Linked DNA regions of Saccharomyces cerevisiae S288C. The gene in region 2 interacts genetically with the main gene of each other region. Each region holds a gene or a part of one and is shown on either strand. Other genes may lie near its edges. The genes, in order: HAP5, CQD1, IMP2 and DDL1.

What was found.
Region 1: mutations in CQD1 (region 2) and HAP5 together harm fitness more than expected from each alone (negative genetic interaction), as found in Saccharomyces cerevisiae (2 studies listed by BioGRID).
Region 3: mutations in CQD1 (region 2) and IMP2 together harm fitness more than expected from each alone (negative genetic interaction), as found in Saccharomyces cerevisiae (2 studies listed by BioGRID).
Region 4: mutations in CQD1 (region 2) and DDL1 together harm fitness more than expected from each alone (negative genetic interaction), as found in Saccharomyces cerevisiae (2 studies listed by BioGRID).

The regions. Positions count from the first base shown.
Region 1 is NC_001147.6:1,005,786-1,012,924, reverse strand, and holds HAP5 (Hap5p), read right to left. Parts: upstream 2,765-7,139; coding exon 2,036-2,764; downstream 1-2,035. Other genes in the region: VTS1 (Vts1p), read right to left, coding at 165-1,736; SNX3 (Snx3p), read left to right, coding at 3,213-3,701; CIR2 (electron-transferring-flavoprotein dehydrogenase), read right to left, coding at 3,809-5,704; GDS1 (Gds1p), read right to left, coding at 6,220-7,139. UniProt on the Saccharomyces cerevisiae protein: Acts a component of the CCAT-binding factor, which is a transcriptional activator and binds to the upstream activation site (UAS2) of the CYC1 gene and other genes involved in mitochondrial electron transport and activates their expression.
Region 2 is NC_001148.4:341,275-349,636, reverse strand, and holds CQD1 (Cqd1p), read left to right. Parts: upstream 1-2,247; coding exon 2,248-4,040; intron 4,041-4,192; coding exon 4,193-4,373; downstream 4,374-8,362. Other genes in the region: DPC25 (Dpc25p), read right to left, coding at 1-518; YPL108W (uncharacterized protein), read right to left, coding at 685-1,191; GDE1 (glycerophosphocholine phosphodiesterase), read left to right, coding at 4,898-8,362.
Region 3 is NC_001145.3:339,178-346,186, reverse strand, and holds IMP2 (endopeptidase catalytic subunit), read right to left. Parts: upstream 5,046-7,009; coding exon 4,512-5,045; downstream 1-4,511. Other genes in the region: stress-responsive transcriptional activator MSN2, read left to right, coding at 1-1,784; putative tyrosine protein phosphatase MIH1, read left to right, coding at 2,667-4,331; RCH1 (Rch1p), read left to right, coding at 5,465-6,769; ARP9 (Arp9p), read right to left, coding at 6,910-7,009. UniProt on the Saccharomyces cerevisiae protein: Catalytic component of the mitochondrial inner membrane peptidase (IMP) complex. IMP catalyzes the removal of signal peptides required for the targeting of proteins from the mitochondrial matrix, across the inner membrane, into the inter-membrane space.
Region 4 is NC_001147.6:370,048-378,229, forward strand, and holds DDL1 (putative carboxylic ester hydrolase), read right to left. Parts: upstream 5,811-8,182; coding exon 3,663-5,810; downstream 1-3,662. Other genes in the region: YOR019W (uncharacterized protein), read left to right, coding at 1-272; HSP10 (Hsp10p), read right to left, coding at 477-797; MCO10 (Mco10p), read left to right, coding at 1,638-1,910; protein-arginine N-methyltransferase SFM1, read right to left, coding at 2,751-3,392; AHC1 (Ahc1p), read right to left, coding at 5,965-7,665; NAD-dependent histone deacetylase HST3, read left to right, coding at 8,172-8,182. UniProt on the Saccharomyces cerevisiae protein: Probable phospholipase that hydrolyzes phosphatidic acid.

The DNA.
Region 1 (7,139 bases), on a different chromosome or scaffold from region 2:
TTAAACGGTGCAAAAACAGGTGTAATCTAAAATATTAAACTCCATAAAAGAAAACGTTAAAATTACAAAATAAATGAAATATGTTCCCTGTGTTGGTATATGCAAAGTAAATAAAAATTAAATCTTTATGCAACGTCAAGACAATCAACTTTATTATGCCAGATTTAATAAGCAGATCTATCAATTAAATCACGTTCTTTGTAATCAATAACGATTCCAAAAGCCTTCAACAATTTTCTCCTTGCACCCAAGGCAAGAACGCCTTTTTTTTCTAAAGTCTCGTCATCTAAGTAAATCAATTCGATCCACGGGGTTCCGCTTAAGGCATCTGAATACTTGTGTAGTCTTAACGATTTTAACCACATGGGTATATTTTTTAGTAGCTTGGGGTCTGTCAAACTCTTTGGATTCATCGAAGAGTTACTCGATAAAGGAGTGTTTCCGTTAGATGATGTAGATGTCGATGTGGCACTTGTAGGACCAGCATTAGGATGCGTAATGGTATTATTGAACACGTTCTGGTTGGACTTATTCAAATCAGTTCCTGATGGTCTTGAAGTATTCGAAAAATATGAGGTGGTATTATGCAGAGGATGATGCAATGAATGATGGTGATGAGAATTGTACTCATTTCCCATGTTAGACCTTTTCTTTGGTTGGAAAAAAGAATGGGAACTTGAGAGAGAGTGAGAAAGATAGTTGGGATTCTCTGATGGCAACTTTTTATATTTGGTACTGTTACCGTTGTTGAATTGTTTCTGGACAGGAATGAGATTTGGGCTTGAATTAACATGAGGCTCAGCCGACTTGGACCTTTGACTAGCGTCGGTGATGTTGTCATATATGGGTTGGCTAATTGGTATTGAATGTGGCTGAGGGGACCAATTTTGATACAACAAGTTATCGGTATTTTCAGGGTCATTAGTTATAGGACTTGAAGAAAAGACTGAATCAATATTCAAAATTTGTGTGTCATCCCTATTAGGTATAGGTGATGCAATTGCAGGTAGCGGTGGGGAGATGAAGGGAGTGTTTGTCAAAGTCTCTATTTTTAACTTAGTATATTTCAAAACATCATCATTCAAAATGGAAAGGATATTGTCCATTACAGTATTTTGTTGGCTGCTGTTCAGCATGGATATCCAAGAACATAATTGGTTGATGTCTTGGCTGAAATTGGTGCCCATGTTCGGATCGTTTTTTTGGGATTGAGACTGTTGTTGCGATTGACGGGATTGCGGCAAAGGAATTGAACCACTCTGCGATGGAATACCCAAAATATTATTTGGAGATCTCTGAAATGAATCCAAATACATAGATGTTGAAGATAAAGTAGATTGCAACGCCTTTGGAGATTGCATCATGGGGGAAACGATAGCAGAACCAGCTGCTGTAGACGAAACTGTTTGAATATTAAGGGAAGGCAACGACGCCTGCTGTTGCTGTTGTTGCTGCTGCTGTTGTTGCTGGAGCGGCTGAGCCCTGGTTCCCGCAGTGTCTAGCATAAAGGATTGCTGATCAAGCATGTCATTGAGTGACATACTATGGGATTGAGGGGACAAAACATTCGCGGTCACGGATGAATTGCCCTGGTTATTGCCAGAATTGCTGCCCGGATTGTTCTTGTTTATGGCAGAAGATTGTGGTGATAGCAAAACGGCGCCTGGATGAGCTCCTCTAGACATGTTATATGGTGACTTGGAACCTGTGGGGAATTCCTCATACGGATGTTTCATGATTTCTTTGCTGACAATTACTTTATATGAACAGTTTTTCTCTTCTGAAAACAATATCTATAGTATATACAGTGATCTAGATTGCCCAAGGGACGAAGTACCAGTGTGACTGCAAAACACAATGTATTCGAGACAATCCTATGGTAGTAGTAGTAGTCGTTGTTAGATATCTCATCGCCAATTTGCTACCAAACTTATTCTGGAAAAAAATAATGAAAAAAATTTGCGTTTTTTCTTTTTCCAACAGATAATTTGCTGTGGTGCACGGTCAAATGGCAGCTGTATAACCATTAACTCTCTCATTGTGGAAGAGGTCTTCTAGGCACAACATCGATGAGAAAGTCAAACATGTCACTCTTTTGCAGGGCCTCTGCGATATCTGCCTTCTGCAAAGTTCGTCTTTTATTCCTTTCTGCCACGCACCAAGCTCTCATAGTCAGTTCTGTAATAAAGATCTCACAGGCTTTGGCGAAAATGATGGGGGCCTCTGCACTAATCATCTTGACATCTTCATCCGTCTTCATGACCTTGCGGATTCTCGCAAATGGTAAGGAATGTGATTTGAAGTCATCTTGATGCTCGGAACCAGGTTCATTCGTAGACTCGATCTCGTTGATTAATTCTTGCCAATAACGGATCATTATCTCCTTGTAGTGGCCCACCAATCCCTGACCAACGTTCCTAAACACATCATACTCTTCATCGTCCTCGTCCATTTCTCCGTCTGCGCCGTCGCTGTTTCCATTATCTTCGCCTTCAAGCGATCCTCGACCACTTGGCGGTAGATTAGCTTGGTCATGGCCCGCCTGGATAGCTTGCAACTCCTGTACCATCCGGAACTCTTCCTCAGAAACAGGTAGCCTCGTATTTTCCCCTTCCCCTTCGTTTTCTTGCAGTTGTTGCTGTTCTGAATATTGCCTTGGCATATTCATTTCCTCTCTCTGAATCATCGTACTGGGTTGCGGTCCCTCCGGGAGCGATTCTTGAGGTCCTTGTCCTTGTTGTGGTGAGAAATTCCTATCAGTCATTATGCGAGTAAACAATCCTGATGCTGCAAATGCGTCACAACTCTTACATTATCTCCTATTCCCCTCTATTCTTCTTCTTTGCTTACGCGGTATTATAGCAGCTAAGGAAGCTTAATCTCCGGAAGCAATCTTAAGGGAGCCGTCCCACGCAAATTTAAGTTTAACTACGGAAAAGGGAGCACAACACTCTTCGATTTTGACATTTCGGGATTTCTACACTCTAGTAAGTATTGCGCTAGGAGGGACCATGATTTACTATGAGGACTTGGCTATGGGGTGCTCAGAATTGCATAAGTGAACTCGAGGATAGCTTTGGGCACTATCACGTACTAAGTGATATGTATTGATATGTAAACCTGCAATGAATGAATGGATTAAAACGGATCTTAATACTGCATAAAAGAGGACGGCAAGAACAGCTGAGAAGCGGTACGCATCTACACAAAGTATGCCAAGAGAATTCAAATCCTTTGGGTCTACAGAAAAGTCTTTGCTGTCAAAAGGACATGGAGAGCCTAGTTACAGCGAAATATACGCTGAGCCTGAGAACTTTTTAGAGATTGAGGTGCACAACCCTAAAACTCATATACCAAATGGGATGGATTCGAAGGGGATGTTTACAGATTACGAAATAATATGCCGTACAAACTTGCCAAGTTTTCACAAGAGGGTATCGAAAGTAAGGAGACGATACTCAGACTTTGAATTCTTCCGCAAATGCTTGATCAAGGAAATTTCTATGCTTAATCACCCAAAAGTCATGGTACCTCATTTACCGGGTAAAATTCTCTTGAGTAATAGATTTAGTAACGAAGTCATTGAAGAGAGGAGACAAGGTTTGAATACCTGGATGCAATCGGTAGCCGGGCACCCGCTTTTACAATCTGGTTCTAAAGTTCTCGTGAGGTTCATTGAAGCTGAAAAGTTTGTCGGCTGAAAAGAACTCTTTTACGTGAATAAATAATATAGATTATATAAAAGAATGAATAGAAAAATTTAAATAAATAATGAATAAAATAATTAAATAAATAATGAATCCTGTGATTAAGTTAGCGTGTACTTTGGTCCATCTCCACCTTCGGGTACTTTCCAAGTAATATCTTGTCTGGGCGCCTTAATATCACAGGTCTTGCAATGGATACAATTTTGTGAATTGATTTGCAGTCTCGTACCCACAGGCGATTTTTCATCTTTGACGAATTCGTAGACACCTGCTGGGCAGAACCTCGATTCAACACCTTTCCAAACGGGAAAGCTTCTCTCGGCGTACTTTACCATATCTTGTCCAGGAACCCTCAAGTGACATGGTTCATCATCATCATGGTAGGTTCCGGTTCTAGACACGGAGGTCAATATATCAAAGGATATCACACCATCAGGCTTGGGGTATTCTATCGGTTTGTACTTGGAAGCAGGTTCCAAAATTTCACCGTCATTTTTTTCATCAAATTTCAGTGTCCACGGAACTTTTCCCTTCAATATCAAAGAATCGATTCCAGAGTAGATCATACCACCATATCCACCAAGTTTCCCGCTGAAGGACGGTCTAATATTACGCACTTCGTATAGTTCCTTATATATCGATGATTCTTTGAATGCACTTTCATATGATTCCAAGTTAATAGTTGCCTCCTTATCAAACATAGCCATTTTGGCGTCTTCGTCTTCAACCTCTTCTAAGACAGGTAACCCTTTTATGGACTCAAAGATACTTTCAGCGGCAAGTAATCCACTCTTCATCGCAGTATGAGTACCCTTGATCTTTGGAACGTTCATGAAACCCGCGCTAGCCCCTACCAAAACACCACCAGGGAAATTCAACTTGGGTACAGATTGCAGTCCACCTTCATTCAATGCTCTTGCAGCATAAGCGATACACTTACCTCCTTCTAAAACTTTTGAATAGTATGGATGATGTTTCATCTTTTGAAACTCTTTGTAAGGTGAAACATAGGGATTCTTATAATCTAACCCCACGACAAGGCCCACAGTGACCAGCCCATCACCAAAATGGTACTGGAAACCACCGCCATAAACATCATTTGTCAACGGGTACCCCATGGTATGAGCTGCAAATCCCTTGTTAAAATTCTCCGGCTTGACTTCCCAAACTTCTTTAATACCTAATCCATAAGTTTGGTGCTGTCTGCCTTTTCTTAAATCATATTTTGCCAAGGCTTGTTTTGTTAAGGAACCATGACAGCCCTCTGCTAATACAGTTTGTCTAGCCCAAAATTCCATCCCACGTTCGAAGGTTTCCTTAGGCTTACCGGACTTCGAAATACCAGCATCTTTAGTAATTACACCCTTAACGGCGTTGTTTTCATCATATATGAGATCCGAGACAGCTATTCCGGGGTAAACTTCAACTCCTACTTCTTCTGCCTTTTCTCCTAAATATCCGACGACTTGGTTCAAAGAGACAATATAATTACGTCCTTTATTGATCATTTGAGATGGTTCTGGAACGCTGATCGCCCATTTCCCCTTTAAAAATTTCAAATGTTCTTTAGTTACCAACGTAGCTAACTCCTTTGGTAACGGAATGCCAATGTCAGACTTTTCATCAGGGAATAGTTCTTTCCACACTCCCGGTTCCAATATAGCGCCGGAAACAGTTTGTCCACCCAATACACTGGATTTTTCAAGAACAACGACACGCAATTGGCCTGTTCCTGACGAATTGTCTAACTGTTTTAATTTGATTGCTGTTGCTAATCCCGCAGGCCCTCCTCCAACTATACAAACATCCACATAGTCGCGCGCCCTTGGTTCATTTAACAACTCTTTCTCTTCTTCAGTAAGATTTGCTTTGTTCAAAAACCTACACGACAAGCTAAACTTTCTCGTCATATCTGTCCCTAGAGCCAAATGACGAGATTTTGCGGAAATCGTCATTCGGATCCCTCTAATTAAGTTCTCGTTAGTGAACTTAATCATTTTCCCTTTCCCAGAGTGGATTTTCCTGTCTAGCTTAAGTTTGTTCTTTTATGTGGCCTGAAGTAACAGTAAGTATATAACGTATTGAATAAATTAATTAAGTGGGGACCACTACTACTCAGTCCGCTTGAAAAAGTTGAATTTTTCAGTTAACCTTTTCTTTTCTACAGTCATGGCAAATCGCGATCCATTGGTAACAAAAAATAAAGCTTCCCGCAAATTTCGGATAAACTAACTGTGGGGTAAATGAAGATCAATCCATATATATCCGGAATAACCGAAAACAGCCAAAAAAAAAAAAATTACTGTCATTAACAGTAAATTAGTCCACCTCTAACGGTTTAGTTGTTTTTCATTTATTTATTTATGGTTGTTTATTTATTTAAATATTGTAGTGAAAGTTAGAACTAGCTAAAAATTGTCCAAATGAGAGGAACACATATTATTAGTTGATAAAAAAAAACAACGACATAGGTGTAGAGCAGCCGTTATGCTCTTGTAAAGGGAGATAAAAATCAATTGAATATATTTTCTAGGTCATCTAATGTGATTGATTCAGGAGATTCAATATCATGTGTCAAAAATCCATTTCTCACAATTTTCATCCAATTCGTAACTTCGTTTCGTGATTCTTGGGAACTTGGGTTTGATTCTCTTCCGTTATCCTGACTGGAATTGATGTCGGATAAAGATTCAGCAGAAGAAGCAGCTGCACTATTAACTGGTGAACTACTACTACTGTTATATTGAGAGCTCTCTGAAGAGCTCTCAATTGGAGTCTGTGTAGAGATTACTTTATGGATAGCAGCCAGTTCAGAAGAGCTACGTGAATTTTTCTTAAACCCATTTTTCGGCAAAAGCTTAGAAAGCCTTGGTGCAGCGGCAGCGGCAGTAACATAAGTATTTGACGATGCATTATGCGACAGAGAAGAATCTGGCGAAATATTCTTGGAGCTTGCAAATGTAGAAAGAGATGCAGAGGAACCCTTTTTGGGGGTGGATAAAACTGATAAAGATTGGGATTTTGTTTGTTTGCCAGGTTTAGTAGTTTTGGTTTTCTTTGGCTCGGTCATTGACTCGTTAGTATCTTCATCCATGTAATTTCTTTTTTTATTATTGTTTTTACTCTTCGATGCCGAATTAGGTGTCAGTAATTGTTGCTGATTATTACTCATCGATGGGGAAAGATTTAGTGACACTGGAGAAGTGGAATAAGGTATGTTGAATTCTGGACTTAATGAAAAGGCCAGATTCCCTACATTCAAATTTTTTGAGAAGGAACTGTTAGAAGACATATTTTTCATGTCCGTCATAGAACTTGAATAACTGTCATTGTTAACTAGCTGGTTACTGCTGGACTCCCTTTTTTTCTTGCCATTTGAATTAAAGTCGCTTGTATCACCGGAGGTCTCCAATTGTTGTTTAAGTTGCATCG
Region 2 (8,362 bases):
TTTCTTTTAGGGAACAAACTTCTGATAGCAGATAAATCATGAGGTTGTTCTGCTTTTTTGCTATCGGTTTCCAGCTTCTTTTCACGTAACTCAACAGGGACATTTTCCATATGTAACAATCCCAAAGGTGGATTCCAGTCTTTAGGCCACTTCTCCTTAGTTCCTGCGATCTTTTCCGCAGCCTCTTTCCTTCTATGTTTCCAGTCTCTTAAATCCTCGCTATATATCTCCCAGACACAGTTAACGCAACCTGACATGCAACAGTTATCGGGTTCTTGTGGTTTTGCAGGCACTTGGACACCTGCTATTTTCTTCGTTCCGCCGCTAAGCACTCTACTTGTGGATCTTGGTGGTTCACCCTTTAAGCGTCCTCCAAAAACAGTGGTCATTCTTTCTTCGACAGAAGTAGAGATATCTTGAGTGTTTCCTTCAAAAGTCATATCTACTCTGGAGTATCTTGTGAACCTCCGCACCGGATAAATTCTGTAAAGTAATGACCATCCCTGATTTCTTATCATTTTCTACTTTTGATCACGTCTCTATCTAATGACGGTTTCATGCACCCTCTGACTGTTGTAATTTACGTATTATTATTCTGTTTAATTTATGCTATTTATGTAAATGAGTTCGGCCATGTCGGAGGAGAAAGATATCTTTTTTCAAATTTGAGTATCTGATTCGGGCTTATAATACATGCCCACGACATCGCTCGATCATATATTCCAACTCTTCAAGCTCCCTCTTCATTTTATTCTTCACGTTGAACGGTTCAAAGAGCCCCAGAAAATAGGTGCTGAGATCCAGACACTCCTTGTACTTACATTGGTAAAATAAACGATGGCAGAAACCACTAAGCACCTGTCGCTGATGCTTATTGGAGATATCGTACTTGCCTTCCCGGATCTCAACCAAGGGATCTACCTCATCCATCCATCCTACCTTTGTCCGCACAGGGCCTTGTTCTACTTCGAAGTAGTGCTGCAATTGCTGTGTATACTCTTCTTCCGTTTGACCTTTACGTATTTTAGTTTTCCCGGTGGATTTTCTAACAATTACTTCACCTGTTCTACCATCTAACGAGATTGGCTTAGTCACTGATTGATCCTTCTCTCCGTGGGCTTTCCTAAAACCTGTACTATAGTTTTTTTCCACCATTTTTGGTGCTTCTTCTCTATCAGATGCTTCTTTCATAAAAATTATTATCTTTCTTAGCTGTTATTCATCTTACATTTTTTTTTCAATTACGGCGAGGCGATGACTTCAATCGTTGCTGTCAAGATTGAATTGACAATTACAGTCGATGTTGAATATTAACTTATATATGACAGATCATTACAGCTAGTCTAGTTCGACAAGATTAGTAAGATTAGGAGTTATTTTTAACTGCTTATTATGCAAGTTGTGTAGGCCACAGGCGCAACTGAAAAACATAATTTCAGATTAGGCAGTTACTGGAAAGATCGCGTTCTTGTATTGTCTAAATAGAAGCAGTTGTTTTAATAATGCTTACAATTGAACTATGAACCAAAGCAATAATTTATGAGAAACTAAAATGGGATGCATCAGATCTTTGCACTCAATTGAGTTTAAAACTGTACAGGTACTAATATTATATTAACGCTGCTTCTATAACACTTGTTTTGACATGACGATAAGTGTAGTGTATTCAAATGCCGTATGTCACTTGAACACACAGGGAACTGCACTCTGCACTTCGGAACAAGATTGAAAGTTACTGTGTTATTAACCTTTGCCAACAAGCGAAAACAACCAGGTGTTTCTGCGGTTTACAAAATCTTTAAGGGATTGAGGTTAGTTGGCTCAAAGAGAAGAAGTTCCCAGTCGATGTATCAAGCAGAGCTAAGAGAAAAAGTGCCGCGAAAGGGTTTGATTGGTCAAGTTGGCTTGTTCATCAGGAACTAAATTAATCAAGGTGTGATTCTATCTGTCAACCCCCCCCCTTGATACTTCCTGTACTTAGAATCAATTTATTAAATACAAATTTAGAATCTGTGATTCGTAAATCTTAAGTGTTTAAATACTAAGTGTGTATTAAAGGCTTTACTTCAAGCAACGAAAAATAAATAACCCCGAATATATGAGGGGCAATAATACCTTTTCACTCATTTGATGAAAAAGAAAAGATGTTTGATGTTATAGAAAATACCTTATACCATATCTTCTACCTACTCATCAATATCAAACCCTCACAGAATAGAGATAAAGAACATCAGAACCATCTGGGCAATGTCATTTTTAAAGTTCGCTTATAGAAACTCTTGGCGATACTATAGCAAGTCCACACGGCATTTTCATAAAATACCTATAAGACAGTTCATAATACCTACGTCAATTGCTTTTTATTTGACACAAAATTCGTTTCCAAAACAAAATTGTTTGATATACAATGATTCTCTAAAACCGGATCCCAAAGGTGATACTTTTGAAATGGGCCTCTACGTTTCCTCAGAAAACGAATTGCAGGAAAAGCTTAAATCTTTCAGGTCTGCTAAGATCACTGAATCACGAAATAAATTAATAAGATATCTAAGAATCTTTTGGTTCGGTTTTAATGATAATATTGTTGAGCCTGTATGCACGATTTTAAGGTTTTTAGAAATTTCAGCTATTTTTTTACCTCTTCTCCTATTATACCCCATATCATGGTTTGGTCATAAACTCAAAATTACGGACACCAATATAACTGAAACTCGAGGTTCATTGATTTGGTGTCAACTACTGCGTAAAGCATTGGAATTGGCTGGCCCGAGTTTCATTAAACTCGGACAATGGGCAGGATCGAGAACCGATATATTCTCTCACGCACTGTGTCATGAGTTGGGTAAATTGCATAGTAACGTTACAGCTCACTCTCTAAGCTTTACTCTGGAAAAACTTTCTCAAGCATTAAAGGTTGACAAGATCGAAGATGCTTTTGATGAATTTAATCGAACACCAATTGGAGTTGGGTCCATCGCACAAGTTTACGTGGGTGAACTATCCCAAAAGTACATCGATAAATATGACAATATACAAATTGGTAAGGATGGAAATCGTTGGTGTGCCATCAAGATCTTGCATCCAAATGTAAGATCTCAGATCCGGAGAGATTTGAAAATAATGAAATTCTGTGCTGACGCAATAAATTGGATTCCGACTATGGAATGGCTGTCTTTACCCAGCGAAGTCGATCAGTTTTCCATATTAATGAATATTCAGTTGGATCTAAGAATTGAGGCGTTAAACCTGGAAAGATTCAATGAGAACTTTAAAAATTCTATTCAGGTGAAATTTCCTAAACCATTTCTCCCCTTGTCAAATAGGGATGTTATGTTCGAAGAGCATGTATATGGTCTTTCCATGGAAAAGTTTTTATCTACGAAGAAGCAAATTAACGACGTTGAACTTTGTAAAAAAGTCAGTGATCCCTTCGTTGACGCGTTTCTACAAATGCTAATTCTTGATGATTTTGTTCATGCTGATTTGCATCCAGGCAATGTTATAATCAGATTTGTGAAGACGAACAAATACGGCACAAACATTATATCCTCCGAACTTGAATCGTACAGAATAACGCACGACCTGAGGAAGAAGATAGAGGAGGACCAAGATCAGGACTTTGTTGGAAAACTGAAGTCTGTATTAACTAATTACACTCCCCAAATTTGTTTTATCGATACAGGAATAATTACAGAATTGAATGAAAAAAACAGAATTAATTTCATAGCTCTATTCAACGCATTGGCCCGATTTGATGGTTATAGAGCTGGTGAGTTGATGATTGAGAGATCAAGAACTCCAGAAACAGCTATTGATAAGGAAGTATTTGCGTTTAAGGTAGAAAAGCTAGTGGATAAAGTTAAACAAAGAACATTTACATTGGGAACCGTCTCAATTGGCGATTTACTCGATCAAATGCTTAGTATGGTAAGGTCGCACCATGTTAGAATGGAGTCCGACTTTGTTTCCGTGGTGGTCGCTATTTTACTTCTAGAGGGTATTGGACGCCAGTTAGATCCAAACTTGGACTTATTTGAAAGGTTCGTATTTTACGCATGGATTAACGGTTTTAAAGAATAACATCAATTTTTTAAAACCCTTTTCTATTGCTTTTTTTTGCTTTTTATTGCTACTAAAGAAATTCTTTTACTAACAAAAATACCCACATCTTGTAACTTCTCTTCGTAAACAGTTCGCTGCCTATATTACGTGAATTCGGGTTTAAGCGGGAAGCCAAAAGTCTCTTGAAAGATGCAAGCACATTATCAATGCTCAAGATATGGGTTGGTTTAGAAGTGCGTCAATTAATGCATCTCTCGATGAAGCAAATATACGATCTTGTCAGGACTGATCAATTGTGTCCTAATTATTAATATTCTTTCTTTTTATGCATCTTTTATAATTGCGACTTCCACGTGTTCGCAGGTGGAGCAATGTTACACACGCTGTCCCAACATATTAGCTCTCCAAAAAAACGACCAAGTTTATTTAAGTGACAAATAATAATTTGCTGTTGCTCTAGCTGAAATTTAGACCAGTGCTGTCATTATCGACTCGTAGTGTTCTTTTAATAGTAAATTTCGTCAAAACGTTTCTAATTCACTTAATAGCGCCAACTGAATAAGAGAATTATTTTTAGAACGTGCACATTATATTAAAAAGAGAGCGTTGGCTGACAGAAGTAAAAAATAAATTATTGTCTTACAAAGTGAGACTATTAAAGAGTTTAAGTTTTGCAATTAGTGCTTCATTGAACAATAAGGCAACGGTAGCAAAAAATTTAAACCCAACTAAGAAGGGAACCCTCATCAAATTACACAAAAATAGCCACTATCTCCAACTAAGGTGACAAACTACTGAAACTGTAAGGTCTTTATATAATCAAACAATATAATCAATGAAGTTCGGAAAAACCTTTGCCAATCATCGCATTCCAGAGTGGTCAAGTCAATATGTTGGCTACAAGTCGTTGAAGAAAATGATTAAAGAAATTACAAGACTTCAAGAAGACATATATAGGGCACATAACAAGAATAGCTATGATGAAGGCAGGCCACCAACAAAAATGAGAGATTCATCTAATAGTGCTCAAAATTATTTGGACTCTCCAAAAATCCAAAAGTTATTGGCGTCGTTTTTCTTTGCAGTTGACAGGGATATTGAGAAGGTTGATACATTTTACAATTCCCAGTATGCGGAATATAAGAAAAGATTTGAGAGATTGCTTTCTTCTAATCAATTCAATGAGATAAAATCAACATTAGTGGTCGATGCCAACAAAGAAGATGCAGTAGCGCAAACCTTACTCACAAAGGATACGAGAGAGATGAATATGCTTTTAAAGGGAACAAGTCAAGCCAGCCGTCTATCTTACCATAAAGATGACTTAATTGAAATTCAGTCTATCTTAGCTGAGTTAAGAAAACAATTTAGAAACTTAAAGTGGTACGCTGAACTAAATAAGAGAGCTTTTGGTAAGATTTTAAAGAAACTGGATAAAAAAGTCGGCACAAATCAGCAAATGTCAACTATGAAAACTAGAATCTTGCCGTTACAATTTGCTAATGATTCTCTTATTACCAAAGATTTGAGTTTGCTAAAAACTATCTGGGAACAAGTGACGTTCAGGATAAATTCTTACGAGAGAGTAATGAGGAGTACCTCGCCGAACGCAAATGCTAATGATAATACAGAATTCTTTAAGATTATTTGCGTTTTTATAGAAGAAGATGATAGCAAAGGATTGATTAGAGAGCTAACAAACCTATATTCGGAATTGTCTTTGATTCCAACAAGAATTATGATAAGTGTTTTAAACAAGGCAGCACTGTCTAAATCACTGGCATGTATTGATGCTATCTTAAAGGTTATTCCGTCTCTAAATGACTCGGAAGATATTAACAGAAGAAATTTTTTCCATCATCACATAATTGCAATCGGGAAGTTAATCAGAAAACAGGAAATTTTAAGTAGGAAAAAGAAGTCACAACCCTCAAAATATACTAATAGTGAGGGAGAAATTGTAACAGATTTAAGAACCCTGCATACGACCCTATCTGCCCCGGCAGAATCAGATAGCATTACAGAGGAGGAAAAAAGTTCGGCCTGTACACTCTCTTATATTTTAGAGGAGTTACCAATTCATTTAAGACCATGCCTTTTTCAGCATGATAATTACAAGAGAACGCCCTTGCATTATTCTTGCCAGTATGGCTTATCTGAAGTTACGAAGTTGATTATCAAGTTAATGAAAGAATGGAATATCTGGAATGAAATCCCTATTGATGACGTTTCCGCGTTCGGAGATGCCGAATCATTGACACCTTTACATTTATGTGTGTTGGGTGCTCATCCCAAAACAACAGAAGTCTTATTGCAATCTTTGGATCCGAACGTGAAATTAAAAAGTTCAAGTTTGTTACATTTGGCCACTGAGTGGAATAACTATCCCCTTTTACATGTTCTCCTATCATCAAAAAGGTTTGATATTAATTATCAAGACAACGAATTACATGAAACACCGCTATATCTTGCTTGTAGATTAAATTTTTTCGAAGCTGCTGTGTGTTTGTTGTACAATGGAGCCGACCTTGAAATAAGAGAAAAACTTTTTGGCTGGACAGCTATCTTCGTTGCAGCAGCAGAAGGGTTTACGGACATTGTAAAGCTCTTGATAGCCAACAACGCGAACTTTGATATTGAAGATGAAGGTGGGTGGACGCCGATGGAGCACGCGGTATTGCGCGGTCATTTGCACATTGCTGATATGGTTCAAATCAGAGACGAACTGGTCACGCATCCCCATTCACAGTTGAACAGTGGTAGCGAAGAGAAAGAACCACTAAACGAAATTAGTGCCGGAGAATTAAATGAGAGAAATGAAAATGGAAACGGAGGTAATAAAGGGTCCTTGGGAAAACTGGCCGGACCAATAAAGTCATATGGACACAGATTCCTGGATAATAATGAATCACTTATACTAATAACATTGGGAAGTAATGACACAAGAAACAAAAGCCCTTCAATTTCATTAAGCTCGGAAGCACTAGCAAAAGTTATTGGGTTGGAAACAGATTGTGCATTATCGTTAGTAATTTCATGCAATGATTCAATTGATAAATCTTCTGTAATCTTAGATTTACCATTAGATGATAATGTGGACGCAGTAGACTTCAAAGTGCCTTTCAAAGTTGATTATTCTCATACATTATATTTTGATATTGTGCCAACATATGGAACACGCTCGTTGGAGACCCATAATAGAATAGATTGTCAAAAAAATAACAATAATTACGTAATGGCAAGGGGTGTTTCCATGTTGAATAAGTCGTACAGCTCAGTGGGAGTTAATAGAAGTATATTAAATGGTAGCGTGACGGTCCCCATCATCGCTAATCATACACTGGAGATACTTGGGACGCTGAAATTTGAATATATTATTATCACACCATTTGAACATCCACAACTGCCCTTAGAAAGAACAGAAACGTACTGGAAATCCTTAGTGTCCACTCGTGTTATAGGACATAGAGGCCTGGGTAAAAATAATCCTAATAAATCATTACAAATTGGAGAGAACACAGTCGAGTCTTTCATCATGGCAGCCTCATTGGGAGCATCGTATGTAGAGTTTGATGTTCAGTTGACGAAGGATAACGTACCAGTGGTATATCACGATTTTCTCGTAGCTGAAACAGGTGTCGATATCCCCATGCATGAATTGACGCTGGAACAGTTTTTAGATTTGAACAATGCCGATAAAGAGCACATTCAACGTGGAGCAGGTCACTCACCTCATCATGTAAATGGAGCAGATACAGCACTACAAAAATATAGAGGGCGTTCGGTAGATGATTCAGACGTTAGTACATTGAGGAGAGCTTGGGATTTACACGACAACGACCCGAATGGGAAGTCCAACAATGCTCATTGGTCTGACAATCGAATGAGGCTAACCAAAACATTTAAAAAGAACAATTTTAAGGGAAACGCTAGAGGACATTCAATAGCTTCATCATTTGTTACCTTGAAAGAACTATTCAAGAAAATCCCTGCCAACGTTGGGTTTAACATAGAATGTAAGTTTCCCATGCTTGATGAGGCAGAAGAGGAAGAGTTAGGGCAAATAATGATGGAAATGAACCATTGGGTTGACACCGTGTTAAAAGTAGTTTTTGACAATGCGAATGGTAGGGACATCATTTTTTCGTCATTTCATCCGGATATTTGCATCATGCTTTCGTTAAAGCAACCGGTTATTCCGATCTTGTTCCTGACGGAAGGTGGAAGTGAACAGATGGCCGATTTGAGAGCCTCATCGTTACAAAACGGTATAAGATTTGCTAAGAAGTGGAATTTATTG
Region 3 (7,009 bases), on a different chromosome or scaffold from region 2:
AAATTAAGAGTACTAATAATGCTAGTGGCTCTGGGGCAAATCAATACACAACTCTTACTTCACCTTATCCTATGAACGACATTTTGTACAACATGAACAATCCGTTACAATCACCGTCACCTTCATCGGTACCTCAAAATCCGACTATAAATCCTCCCATAAATACAGCAAGTAACGAAACTAATTTATCGCCTCAAACTTCAAATGGTAATGAAACTCTTATATCTCCTCGAGCCCAACAACATACGTCCATTAAAGATAATCGTCTGTCCTTACCTAATGGTGCTAATTCGAATCTTTTCATTGACACTAACCCAAACAATTTGAACGAAAAACTAAGAAATCAATTGAACTCAGATACAAATTCATATTCTAACTCCATTTCTAATTCAAACTCCAATTCTACGGGTAATTTAAATTCCAGTTATTTTAATTCACTGAACATAGACTCCATGCTAGATGATTACGTTTCTAGTGATCTCTTATTGAATGATGATGATGATGACACTAATTTATCACGCCGAAGATTTAGCGACGTTATAACAAACCAATTTCCGTCAATGACAAATTCGAGGAATTCTATTTCTCACTCTTTGGACCTTTGGAACCATCCGAAAATTAATCCAAGCAATAGAAATACAAATCTCAATATCACTACTAATTCTACCTCAAGTTCCAATGCAAGTCCGAATACCACTACTATGAACGCAAATGCAGACTCAAATATTGCTGGCAACCCGAAAAACAATGACGCTACCATAGACAATGAGTTGACACAGATTCTTAACGAATATAATATGAACTTCAACGATAATTTGGGCACATCCACTTCTGGCAAGAACAAATCTGCTTGCCCAAGTTCTTTTGATGCCAATGCTATGACAAAGATAAATCCAAGTCAGCAATTACAGCAACAGCTAAACCGAGTTCAACACAAGCAGCTCACCTCGTCACATAATAACAGTAGCACTAACATGAAATCCTTCAACAGCGATCTTTATTCAAGAAGGCAAAGAGCTTCTTTACCCATAATCGATGATTCACTAAGCTACGACCTGGTTAATAAGCAGGATGAAGACCCCAAGAACGATATGCTGCCGAATTCAAATTTGAGTTCATCTCAACAATTTATCAAACCGTCTATGATTCTTTCAGACAATGCGTCCGTTATTGCGAAAGTGGCGACTACAGGCTTGAGTAATGATATGCCATTTTTGACAGAGGAAGGTGAACAAAATGCTAATTCTACTCCAAATTTCGATCTTTCCATCACTCAAATGAATATGGCTCCATTATCGCCTGCATCATCATCCTCCACGTCTCTTGCAACAAATCATTTCTATCACCATTTCCCACAGCAGGGTCACCATACCATGAACTCTAAAATCGGTTCTTCCCTTCGGAGGCGGAAGTCTGCTGTGCCTTTGATGGGTACGGTGCCGCTTACAAATCAACAAAATAATATAAGCAGTAGTAGTGTCAACTCAACTGGCAATGGTGCTGGGGTTACGAAGGAAAGAAGGCCAAGTTACAGGAGAAAATCAATGACACCGTCCAGAAGATCAAGTGTCGTAATAGAATCAACAAAGGAACTCGAGGAGAAACCGTTCCACTGTCACATTTGTCCCAAGAGCTTTAAGCGCAGCGAACATTTGAAAAGGCATGTGAGATCTGTTCACTCTAACGAACGACCATTTGCTTGTCACATATGCGATAAGAAATTTAGTAGAAGCGATAATTTGTCGCAACACATCAAGACTCATAAAAAACATGGAGACATTTAATAGACCCCATTTTTTTAATTCGATAGATCTTTCTTCATAAGATAATTCTGTTCAATGACTTATGAAGCTTACGGCTTATTGTTATTATTATCATGATTCTTTGCCATTTTTCCGGTACCTTCACATTTTGAAGGAATTCAGTTCCCCCGCCTGTAACAACTTAGATACACGTAGATAAAAATTAATATAGCCAAAATATTTGGTATGATAGGGTATAGTATAATATAATTAATACAATATAATATAATATAGTACAGTACAGTATAATATTGTATAATATCATATGGCACCGTAATATCATATATATATCCGTACAGTTTAATGAATTCCGTGCGCATTATGCTGTGCAATATGCCTGTCAGTTTGAAAATCGAAGATACCACATCGTACAAAAGCAAGAGGGGTGCCCCTAATGGGAGAAGATTACCGTTTTTATTTTGGGGTAGCTAACTGCGCCACAAATAGTATCTACCAGTTTGCTACTTTTAGAACTGTATTATGTATCTTTGCCGAATACTTAATTTCCTAGGCCTCATTTTCAGGACTAAGGATGAAGAGGGGCTTCAATGTTTTATATGGCGCTTTTTCTGTCCATTGTATACGTCAAAAAAGCATAGATACTCCACTTATTAGCGGTAAAGCCCTTTTTGATACATTGTTCCGGCGTTTAAATATTCTCATTATGATATTTCCCCAACAGTTACACTCTGTTATTTCCTTCTTTTTTATGCTTTATCTGTTTTTTCCCTGTTTCGATGCCGTATATCAGAAAACTTAAAGTTACAAGCGAAAACAAAGAAAAGAGAGTTAACTTGAAAGGAGACAAAAGATAAACAGAGCAGTGGACAAACCAGGATTGAAGTCAGCGAGGGTGAAGAAACCATGAACAATATATTTCATGGAACTGAAGATGAATGTGCCAATGAAGACGTTCTTAGTTTCCAAAAAATTTCCTTGAAAAGTCCCTTTGGTAAGAAGAAGAACATATTTAGAAATGTTCAGACCTTCTTTAAGTCAAAAAGCAAACATTCGAATGTCGACGATGATTTAATCAATAAAGAGAATCTTGCCTTTGATAAATCTCCATTGTTAACAAATCACAGGAGTAAGGAAATTGATGGTCCTTCACCGAATATAAAGCAGCTTGGCCATCGCGATGAGTTAGATGAAAATGAAAATGAAAATGATGATATAGTCTTAAGCATGCATTTTGCTTCTCAAACCTTACAAAGTCCAACAAGAAACTCATCAAGAAGATCTTTGACCAATAATAGGGATAATGATCTTTTAAGTAGAATCAAGTATCCTGGCAGTCCCCAGAGGTCGAGCTCTTTTTCAAGGTCAAGGTCCTTGTCGAGAAAGCCAAGCATGAATAGCAGTAGCAATTCAAGCAGGAGGGTGCAACGGCAAGATGGGAAAATTCCGAGGTCATCGAGAAAAAGTTCACAGAAATTTTCTAACATTACTCAGAATACTTTGAACTTCACGTCTGCGTCATCCAGTCCACTAGCTCCTAATTCGGTAGGGGTGAAATGTTTTGAATCATGCCTAGCCAAAACACAGATACCATATTATTATGACGATCGTAACTCAAATGACTTTTTCCCTCGAATTTCTCCAGAAACGTTGAAAAATATTCTGCAGAATAATATGTGCGAGTCATTTTATAATTCATGTCGTATTATAGATTGTCGGTTTGAATACGAATATACTGGCGGCCACATAATAAACTCCGTTAACATACACTCGAGAGATGAGTTAGAGTACGAATTTATCCATAAAGTTTTGCATAGCGATACTAGCAACAACAACACTCTACCAACTCTTTTAATTATCCATTGCGAATTTAGTTCCCACCGGGGACCTTCATTGGCCTCTCATTTGAGAAATTGTGATCGTATAATAAATCAGGATCATTATCCCAAATTATTCTATCCCGACATATTGATATTGGATGGCGGATACAAAGCTGTTTTTGACAATTTTCCTGAACTATGTTATCCACGTCAGTACGTGGGAATGAACTCACAAGAAAATTTGCTGAATTGTGAACAAGAAATGGATAAGTTTAGGAGAGAATCTAAAAGATTTGCTACTAAAAATAATTCTTTTAGAAAACTAGCTTCCCCTTCAAATCCTAACTTCTTTTATAGAGATAGCCATCAATCTTCAACAACAATGGCATCTTCTGCACTATCGTTCAGGTTTGAGCCGCCTCCGAAGCTGTCATTAAACCACAGAAGAGTCTCTAGTGGTTCATCATTAAATTCAAGTGAGAGTACAGGCGACGAAAATTTCTTCCCCATCTTAAGTAAGTCGTCTATGAGTAGTAACAGTAACCTAAGCACTTCACATATGCTACTAATGGACGGACTGGATACCCCATCATATTTTAGTTTCGAAGATGAGAGAGGCAATCATCAGCAAGTAAGTGGAGATGAAGAGCAAGACGGAGATTTTACTTTCGTTGGTTCCGACCGAGAAGATTTACCCAGGCCCGCAAGAAGATCGTTATTCCCTTCTCTAGAGACTGAAGATAAAAAATGATACTACATGTGCATGAAGTATTATGAAAAAAAGAAGTATATATTCAGGAACCGAACGGCAACAACATCAATACATAAATCACAATCATCTATATTTATTGCATTAGATTAATCACATAATATAAAAAATTTGCATTTGAATACCGGGGTCACTTCTAAATTCATAAAAATAAGCTGATTTTCATTCTAAAATGGCTCTTTTGCTAATGCAGTCTCTACCGGTACTCAGTTTGAGATCCGTTCCCCACCTGGAGGGTGGCCAAACAATTGTTATAGCTTTCCCTATGACCAACCCACTGGAAATGGGGCCAAAAGTATTGCTATCAATCGAATGAAAATAATTGTCCCCTTCGACCCATATGTGTCCCCTGGGCAGGTTCACTTGAGGTTTAGGGTATGGAAACTTCGTGTCAATGGTATCAAACGGTAAACCTTTAACCCTTTTGCAGTAAACTTTCCGAGGGTTTGTAGGAGCTTTGAAAAGGATAATGTCATCTCTAGATAAATTACTTGGGTTCTTGACTCCAAACTTCCAAAGCAGCACCCAATCTGTTGCCAGCGTTTCCGTTTGCGGGTTCAGCGTAGGCTGCATAGAGGTACCTTTAACTTGCGCAATATGGACCACATTATTATTGATTGTTAGAAGTACCGGAACCCATGAAATTGCTATTAGTGTGTTTCGTAAGAATCTTTTTGATGATCCGGCTCGAAACATTACTGTACAGTACAATGCAACAGCTTCATGAATAGCAGCACGCCTTCGTTAACAAGCACCCATCTAGTCATTCAATTAAGGCACTTGTTTTTTCCATTTTTTTCAGTAGCTCGGAACTTAGCCTCGCTCTCCTTCCGAGCTTGATCTTCCACAGTATTTCGATGACATTGGTCTACCCGTAAGTCTGAGCTCCAACGAACAGCCAGAAGCTAAGAAAGCATAAAAAAGAACCGAACCACTTTAAAATCTAGCAAATTTTAACCTTCAATTATATAAAGAGAGATTTATAGCTTTTTATTGCCTGAAACCGTCTATGCTACCTGAATCACCTTCGCACCCTTTTCTACGATATATCCCAACTCTGACATAACTTGCAAAAAGAAGGAAGACACACATTTAATACACCTACTTAGTGCCAAATGAAGACTCAGTACTCTCTAATACGAAAAATTTGGGCACATTCAGTAACAGAATTTCTGAAATCCCAGTGGTTTTTCATCTGTTTGGCTATTTTAATCGTTATTGCAAGATTTGCTCCGAATTTTGCAAGAGACGGAGGGTTAATTAAAGGCCAATATAGTATTGGGTACGGCTGCGTCGCCTGGATTTTTCTCCAAAGTGGCCTGGGAATGAAATCAAGGTCACTAATGGCAAATATGTTAAATTGGAGAGCTCATGCCACTATTCTGGTTCTGAGTTTCCTTATTACCTCGTCCATAGTATATGGATTTTGTTGCGCGGTAAAGGCTGCTAATGATCCGAAAATAGATGACTGGGTACTTATCGGTCTAATTTTGACTGCCACTTGTCCAACAACCGTGGCTTCAAACGTTATCATGACTACGAATGCAGGTGGAAATAGCCTTTTGTGCGTTTGTGAAGTATTCATTGGAAATTTGTTGGGTGCGTTTATTACACCTGCATTGGTTCAAATGTTTACTAACCGCGCACCATTTGCATACGGCAACCCTGCCACTGGAAATGGCATTGGTGCGCTTTATGGCCGTGTTATGAAACAGGTTGGTCTCTCTGTATTCGTACCCTTGTTTGTGGGTCAGGTTATTCAAAATTGCTTTCCGAAGGGTACTGCTTATTACCTGGGCTTTTTGAAAAAATACCATATTAAAATTGGATCTTACATGCTTTTATTGATTATGTTTAGTTCATTCTCAACTGCCTTTTATCAGGATGCGTTTACTAGCGTTTCTCATGTTTGCATCATATTTCTCTGCTTTTTTAATTTGGGAATTTATATATTCTTCACGGGTCTGTCATACTTATGTGCAAGGCCATGGTTCATCCTCAAGCTTTTCCCTCATGAACCAATAGAGGGCAAATCTACAAGATTGTACCGCTATTCGTATAATATCTTTAGGCCTTTTTATTATTCAAAGGAAGATGCGATTTGCATTATGTTTTGTGGCCCGGCTAAAACTGCAGCACTGGGTGTATCACTAATTACTTCACAATACGGCGATAAAAAAGAACACCTGGGTAAGTTGTTGGTTCCCTTGGTTTTATATCAAGTTGAGCAAGTCATGACGGCAAATTTCTTTGTAAGCTTGTTCAAAAGATGGATACAAAAGGACGCTCAAGCAGACGGAAGCGAGTCATCTTGTGCAAATGAGAATGAGGAAGTTGATTTGGAAAAGATCATATCAATTGGAACTGGTGAAAATCAATCCGTTCTGTCGAACAACGTCCCATATACACAACCAAGGTGATATTTCCCTTGTTAATTTTGCATGAATTCTATATATTACATAACGTTTATGTATATATTTCCCATCCTCATTGGATGGAAAAAACTAAACAGCACATATTCACACGGATTTTGGATACACGAAGCATCTATCACGTATTCTTAAAATTGCACGTCCCAAAGAGCAGCCGGTCCTTTCATATTATACTTTTCTCTTGTGATATAAAATGTATCTTTAGGATGAGTGAAAATTTGCTTAGAA
Region 4 (8,182 bases), on a different chromosome or scaffold from region 2:
GTGCCGGTGCGTTAAGAAAAGTCAAAACTAATGACTCCTCAAGTAGTGCAGGGTCAAAGAAAAGCTCGTCTAGTTTTAGTACTGTGAACACCTTCACTGGGGGTGGAGTTGGGATTTTTAAGGTGTTTAAAAGTGGAAGTTCCTCTGGAAATAAATCATCCAGTAGAAGGAATAGTAGCAGTGGCGATGTTTTTGAAAGTGATGATCGTAACGACAAGAAAAAGAAGAAGAAAAAAAAGAAGAAATCATTGTTCTTATTCGGCAAAATATGAGCGGATAGTTTGTACACATAGTGTCCCTAAAATTCCTATTGATGAATAGATCAATTTTATTAGCAGACAATTGGGGGCAGCAACTGAATAGCAGAAGAAATTTGAGTTCAATTATTTTTTTTTCCTGTCATACATAATGGCCTATTTACAGGTACATACATATAGAGTATGTATATAAAATCTCTGTTGAAGAAGACATCATTCTTAGTCCTTGGCAATCTTAGCCAGGATTTCAGCGTCCCTGAAAAGAATAACTTCATCGTCGTTACCCAATTTAATGGTAGAACCACCAAACTGTGGAATCAAAACTTGGTCACCAACTTTAACTTGAGGAACAACCTTATTACCATTAGCATCAGTAAAGCCCGGGCCTACGGCAACAACTTCAGCTTGGTTTAACTTCTCCACGTTCTTTTCAGGTAAATACAACCCGGATGCTGTCTTTGCTTGTGCCTTGATTCTTTGGACAAGGACACGGTCCATCAATGGAACGATAGATTTAGCAGACTTCAAAAGGGTGGACATTCTTTTTTTTCTGTAGATTCAATATATTTTCGATCAATGGCTTCTATCAGAAATTATTTTAAACCTAGCACATAATAAGTTTGTACTGTATAAGCGTTTTGACTAATTTTATACATAATCAAGCTTCTTTTTCCCATTCCTTCAAGATTCTAGAAATTTCTATCATTGATGACGGGCATTACCCCGTTAATGACCTTCACACGAATGAGAATTGGGCGGCTAATGAGAGAACTTCGAGAGGTGCAATAAGTGAGAAATAACAACTTTAGAACTCATTATGATTGCTTCCAATACCTAATCCTACGTATGTACTAAATTAAAAAGACAGACATGCATTATTGAATATTGACATTTTGAGAGTAACTTTTTATTATGAGTGGCATAATAAGATAATCGACGCAAGCCACAATTTATACAATAAAAAATGCTACCATCGCTGCTACATATGAACGAAAATAATACAACTATCGTTACGGCCTTTGCTGAACCGTAATAAAATAAAATTCCTTGTTACATTTTTTTAGCCAGCTGCCTCAGAAAGAGGCGTTTACTATTTAATGGAGAAAGAAAGCAAAGAAAAATAAAAGGTATTTTCTTTACGGAAAGCCTTCGAGCAATCCAGGAGAAAGTGGACCTTTTTTTCCCAATGAAGAGATCATAGGAGTATGGATTGAAAATATAATAGAACTTCGGGTAACGAGGTGTAATTTCACAGTCCATAATACAGAGCTAACGGTTTAAGGGTAAATAGTTATCTAAGTCAAGTTTTGAAGGAACAAGTAAGAAAGGTCGCTACTGTTTCTAAACATAAGATATACAAAAATAAATATAGCTATCTCAATGGGTGCTGCATACAAAGTATTTGGGAAGACGGTTCAACCTCACGTATTGGCTATATCTACGTTTATCGCTACTGCTGCAGTGGCATCTTACTTTACCACGAAACCAAAAACCAAAAATGAAGGCAAGAATAGTTCTGCCTTGAGCCAACAAAAAAGCGGTGAAAGTTCAAACTCAGATGCTATGGGAAAGGACGATGATGTCGTAAAGAGTATTGAAGGATTTTTAAATGATTTAGAGAAAGATACGAGGCAGGATACGAAAGCCAACTGATTATGTATAAAAATTTCTGAAATGGTGGTGTTCTTCATCGTTCAGTGAAGGGATGCACTGATTTCTATAAACTTGAAGCACTTTTTGAAACTACTGTTCTATAACGAAAATTAGCGTCCTTCTTTCTATTAAGTATGCATTATACATATAATTCAATATATTCTGAATAGCAAAACGGCAATGAAAAAAAAAAAACACTGAAAATACTTGCCTTAGGCCATTGTGCATGATACGAATATGCACAAAACTTGCCTCTTTTTACTTTACGGATCAATGACAACACTCAGGTGTAAGTGATAGTTGATGGCCTTTCAATATTTGAAAGGCTGGAAGATAATTATAAAAAATCGAACTAATTGCCTATGATTGTTTCATTACTGAGACTATTTTTTCACCTCAAGGGGGTCGTCTGAATTAGCAAAGCCATGGCAACTAGTGCAGTGCTTGAAGTCACCAGCTCGTTTGGTTTTAGATGCAAGTAATGTAAAGAAATTAATTTAAATAAAATAATAAAAGTTTCTACTTTTTTTTTCAATTAAAAAGCATAATACAACCAATCAATTTTATCCTATTTGGCCTGACAATGATGATATCATAAAAGTAAACGGTTCCTTGTTTTTATTTTTCTTGCATGCACTTTTCAGAAGTCTTGGTAGCGCTACTAACGCAAAATACGAAATATTCATTGGCTAATAAACTTGATTTTTTCATTGAATGTCGTTTTTGAACTATATACAATATAATTAATGCTACGACCCTAAACTTTTCAACTAACTCTTTGACAAGGAAGCATCATCACTTATTACAACCATAGAATGTTACTTAAAGGACTGTTCTCATCTACATCAACAGATCGTCCAAACTTTGAGCAGAATCCTTCTTGATCAAATCCAACATCCCTTCAGGCAAAATAGGTTTACCTTCTTTATCTAAAACGTATCTAAATGGCATTTCCGTGGCCTCATTTTTATTGAACCTAAATTCAGGGTAGTCAATGAACTTGATGTCTTCAAATGCAATCCTGTCTTTGATAATCAACTGTGTTGTTCTTATGGCAGTATCCGTAGTCATTTGTTTATCACCTAGTCTTCTGCTAATTAAAAGATTCGGATAGGCAGTCTTTAGTTCTTTGGTACGATCTCTTGGAGGATGATCACCCAATATGCCACCAAATACGAAATAGTCGAATTTCGTAGCATCCTCCGGCTGTAAATCGATTGTAGCCCTAGGGTCCAATAGACAGACTCTGCCATCTTTTAACAGTTCCAAATCCTTGAAATCTTCGTTAATGCCCTTCAAATCCTTTGTAGTCCATCTTAAACCAAGTTTTAGTAGCCTTTGAGGGATGTCCTTTTCCGTGGTACTCTCTGGTAACGATGATAAAATCAAGTTTTCAGCTCCTACTTCTCTCAGGATTTGGCTATACTCTAAAATGACCCATTCACTAAACCCTTCCTCCATATGCTCAATAATGTACTTCATCGTATATCTAGAAATAATCTCCACAGCTGTATCAATCTATATTAACAATAGATATGCCCCTCAACATCTAATAAGCAAAGGGCATTGCTCTTTTACAATACTCGATGAGCTTACCGAAAATTTCTAATCCAAAATAACGGAAAAAATTGAAAAGGTGTCAATCCTGTTACCCGCAAGTTGAAGTACGGAAAGAATACAACCTTACACAGTGGAACTATAATAGACAGTAAAGAAAAAAGTTAAAAAAAACTTGTGCCTTGCGTTTACTGATCAACCAGTCTTTCTTTTTACATATATTTCTGATGCATTTTCATGTTTACTTAAAATTTCTTTTAGGATAAACGCTGCAATATCCGGTTCTTCGAAATAAGAAACATGTGATTTTATAGCTGATATAAAATCCACTTCTAGCAGACTTGGAGACATAGCATAATCTAGACGTCCGGTGTAATTCAAACCTGTAAGCATTCTCGTAAGATTTTCTGATAACTTGACCTCTTTTTTTTCTGGAGAAGTTTTTTTGGACTGCAAATTATTTTCATCAGTACCTGGCAAATCTTTCCATATGTTTTCGCCAAATTCCAAAACTTTAGAAGTTAGTCCATAAGCTTCACTACAATGTGGTAAATAAGTTTGTTCGTAATGAGCCATTTCTTTACTAACAAGAGGTTCCATCCTATAAGAAATGGGATCACAGACGTGGTAAACATTATAAATGTCCTTACATTGCGGTCTCTGTACGGTTAATTTTCTCTCCAAGTCATTGGGAAATTCGGGACGGTCACCAATTTTTGTTCTTTGAATTAACTTTAACAATCCAATTGGTGAGCCAATAAAGAACAGGTTGTCTACTTGAAATTCTAATTCATATTTTTTTTGTTTGGATAGAATATCAAATAATATCATACTACCCAACGAATGGCCCACTAAATGGACTTTCCCATCAAACTCTGGATTAAATTCTTTAAAAATCCGATATGTTTTGTTCAATTGAGAGGTTACTTGTTGTAGAATCATATCTTGGTAGTATGGTTCGACATACAACAAAATATCTAGTAGACCGTCAGCCAGTAGCTTCCTCAAGGGTAACACTCCATTTACTGTGACTTGTGACAAAGTCGGTAGGTCAGGATTTTCTATATTTTCCTCCTTAGCATCCGTTTGGAAACTTATCGAGTGCCTCCAGGTGATGGGTAGCACTTGAACGTTACAGTTGCTTTTATAATCAGGTGCTGTGTTTAATGATTGTAGTTTCTCAGAATTATTGTAGATTTTTTTCATATTAGACCTAAGTAGATTTACCGTGTGTGCGAAATTTACGTATTCGTACTTCTTACCCAAAGTCTGACCTATACCGTGAACGCATAGTATCAAGTTATCCACATCTCTTCTGTTACTTCTAATTTGTCTATCGCTTGCGCCCGAATTTTTGCCATCTTCTATTTTGCTACTAGCATTAGCGCCTTGACTGTTATCTGCATTGTTATAGTCTGTTTCCATTTGCTTTTCCAAGCTCTGTGCATCATCTTGATCTTTACTAGCATTACCATTGAACAACTGTAAAAAGTCCGATAAATTGAAGAGGTTTGAAACTTTCTTTTCTAACTTTGTTTCAATGCTCCTCGATTTGGAACTGTTACTACCATCTGCTACTTCCGTTTGAGGCGTTTTTGCTGCCTTAAAAGATGTGGATGTCTGTTTAGTAGTTGCGGAGGATGAATATTTGTATGATCTTGTAATCATTGTAGCATTAATCGGTAAGGATTGAGCCAGATTAGACCTTAGAAAGGCTAATTGCAGTTTTCCTCCATCTAAATCCGATAGTAAAAATGCAGTTTGTTTATTGGCAAACAAAATAAACTTGAAAGTAGATTCGTTCTCATCTTTATTGCTGGATCCATTTTTTTGCTCTCCTTCGTTTTCTTTATCGACTGGGTATTTACCTTTGAGCCTAAATATATCTTGCGATTCTGCAGGAGGTGTCGTGGTCGGATCATCATTACTGTCGTCGAATTTGAGCTGCTTATACAACCCTTCAATTTCGGAGGTAAGATCACTGGACAAAGGTTGATTTGAAGAGTCGAACCACACACCTCTTCGTACTTGATAAGTAGGGCCTTCCCAATAGGTAGGGGACAATTCCATGTGAGAGAGGTCGACTTTAAACAGGTAATCTTCGTTGACTAAAACAGGCCTGCGTTCTTGACGCTTACTGGCCTTTTCCAAACGATTAGAATCATCAACGGAGAACGGCTTAAACTTTTTGGGTGAGTGTAAAGTTTGATATGTGGGTAAATAGGGTTTGGAGTTGGGTACGTCTATGGCATAGAACCATGGTACATAAATGTGATTTAACCTTACGAAAATGTTTCTAAAACGAGTGCTGGAGGGAAGGCCTCGATGAGTAAACCGTAGCATTTCAAGTAATTGTTCACTGTGAGTATATTCAGTGATCTTCAATATTAGGGAATATGCAAAAAAATACAATCCACTTTTTCTTCCAAAGCGACAAATTAGGTCAGAAAACCAACAGAATATTATATTACGTAATTTACTTATTTATATGTGTGTACTATGTATGAGAACCACGCAGTCTTGATTTCGACCTTAGATTGTAATAAGATGATGATTTTGCTGCAGGATCAGGACCCTCAAGTTCATTAGTCAAAAGGGCCGCTTTTCTTGGTTTCTTGTCAGTGGGATTTGCTCTCAACCTTTCTCTTAAAGGTAAATCTTCCATGGGAGTAGAGCTATTCAAGCTCAGTTTTCTCTTACGCAGCAATTTTCTTTGTAAGGAGGAGGATAGCACTGGCGGAGAGGGTGGGTCCGTAGTCGTTGTTGTTGTAGCCGTTGCTGAGAGAGACGGTGATGGGACGTAAGAAGCTTCGTCATCAGATTTGGAAGATTCCTCTTCTTGCTCCTTTTGATATCTTAATTGAATTTCACGTTGCTTCAAATATTCATTCAAATCATCCGGAGTTTCATTAACCATGTCAATCAGTTTTTTGAAGTCTTCTTTATTTTGGTATAGTTTTTCTAAATGAGGAGTGTTCTTGACAGTCTTTGGAGCCCGCGTATGGTTCTCGGAGTGGTTGATTGGTGATTGTGGTTTTGGGATTGCAATGTCAGAGGGTAGGTAGTCTTTGTTTGGGTCCAAATTTAGTTTCTTGAACTTAGATAAAATTTCCGGATCCTGCTTATCATTAGGAAGTAGTTTTTGGTTGTTTAAAACTGCCAATGGTTGGCTTGAATATAGTTTAGAATGTTTTAGTCGAGTATGGTTCACGATACCTTGCGCGGAAGTGAAACCGGAACGGTCACATTTGGAGCACGTAATTATAACCAAAATGCCGTCATATCTTCTAAAAATGGGCTCATTATTTTCAGTCTTACCGATGATACCGCTATTGCTCGTCAAACAAGTGCTACTGTAATTACGTCTGTGGTTAAGATGCATCTGACTTGGTTTAAAAGGGAGTATCTGGAACCCCGGCTGCTCGTCTAAGGGGGAGATTGAGGAGGAACGAGGTGAAGAAATGCCATCCGAATTAGAGTGAGGAAGCGAGACGGGAGTGGGCTTGGTTATGGCTTCTGATAGAGATTTAGAACCTGTTAGCCTGTAATCAATTATATTCGAATTTGCCGGACGGAGGGCAGAAGGTTCTAGCAAAAGCCCGTTACTCTTGCTTCTAGTATGATAATGGTGGTGTGGTATGCGTGTTGTTGACAGATTTCTGTTGCTGCTCGAAGACAAAGGCTGACAGTTGATGTTATAATCCGATAGAACCGGGTATGACAGGTTATAATTTGATGCGTTCGTATTTTCCGTAGCCGTACTGTCGTGAAAGTGGCCGCCGAGCACGCTATGCTGCTGATGTTGTTTTATTTTGAGTTGATACGTCCGTTCGATTTTGTTCAATAGACCAGTATCCTTATGCAGGGTTTCCAAGAGAGCTAGTTTTGCGTTAACCTTTTGAACATTTCTTCGTAAGTGCCTAACATGCTTGTGGTTTAGCATTATATGTAGGTTCAAAACATTCTGTATTTCCCCTTTGGCACATTCGTACTTCAACCGCTGGGTATTTTCGCTATCCTTGTCCGGATTACTGGTGGCGGTGTCCATTTTGAAGGGCTCATCCATGTTGTTTTCCAAATCCTGAGGAGACTTTGGCGTGGTAACCTGATAAACGTTCGTCATCTTAGAGGATGACGATGAGGAAGAATTAGGATTATGATGCTGGTGCTGCAGTTTATCTTGGGCGGGACTCATCATGAGGAGATGGACATATACACAAAGTGTTGGATGAGAAGCGTGAGCCCGAAGAGTAGTGAAATGCCGAAGATCAGGGTGTTTATATGAACGAACACTAGCTTACAAATGTGGAAACGGGATCCTTCAGAGGTAAAATGCGCCTTCAGTGGCCAAAGTTCATCACCTTCCTTAGCACGGGTTCTTGCTGTCTGCTCTTCCTGCTTCTTCCCTGTTCGTTTTTCCCTCTTCCTACGGCTATGCACAGTGGCAAATGCACTGCATGTGTTTCTGTGGCGGGTATCCCTCAATTGCGGGTAACAATAAGTAACTCAACATCACGAACGACGTTTATGTTTGCTGTTACCACAAAGGGTAAAACGTCAATAAAAGCAAGCAATGTTATTCGTGCCAGAGAACTATATCTGGCGTACGTCTTATATATAACACAAGCAAGGGCAAATACGTGGTTAGTGGTGTAAAAACTGAAGGGATTAATTTACATACAACTAGATCCATCTTTCTCAAAAATGACTTCAGT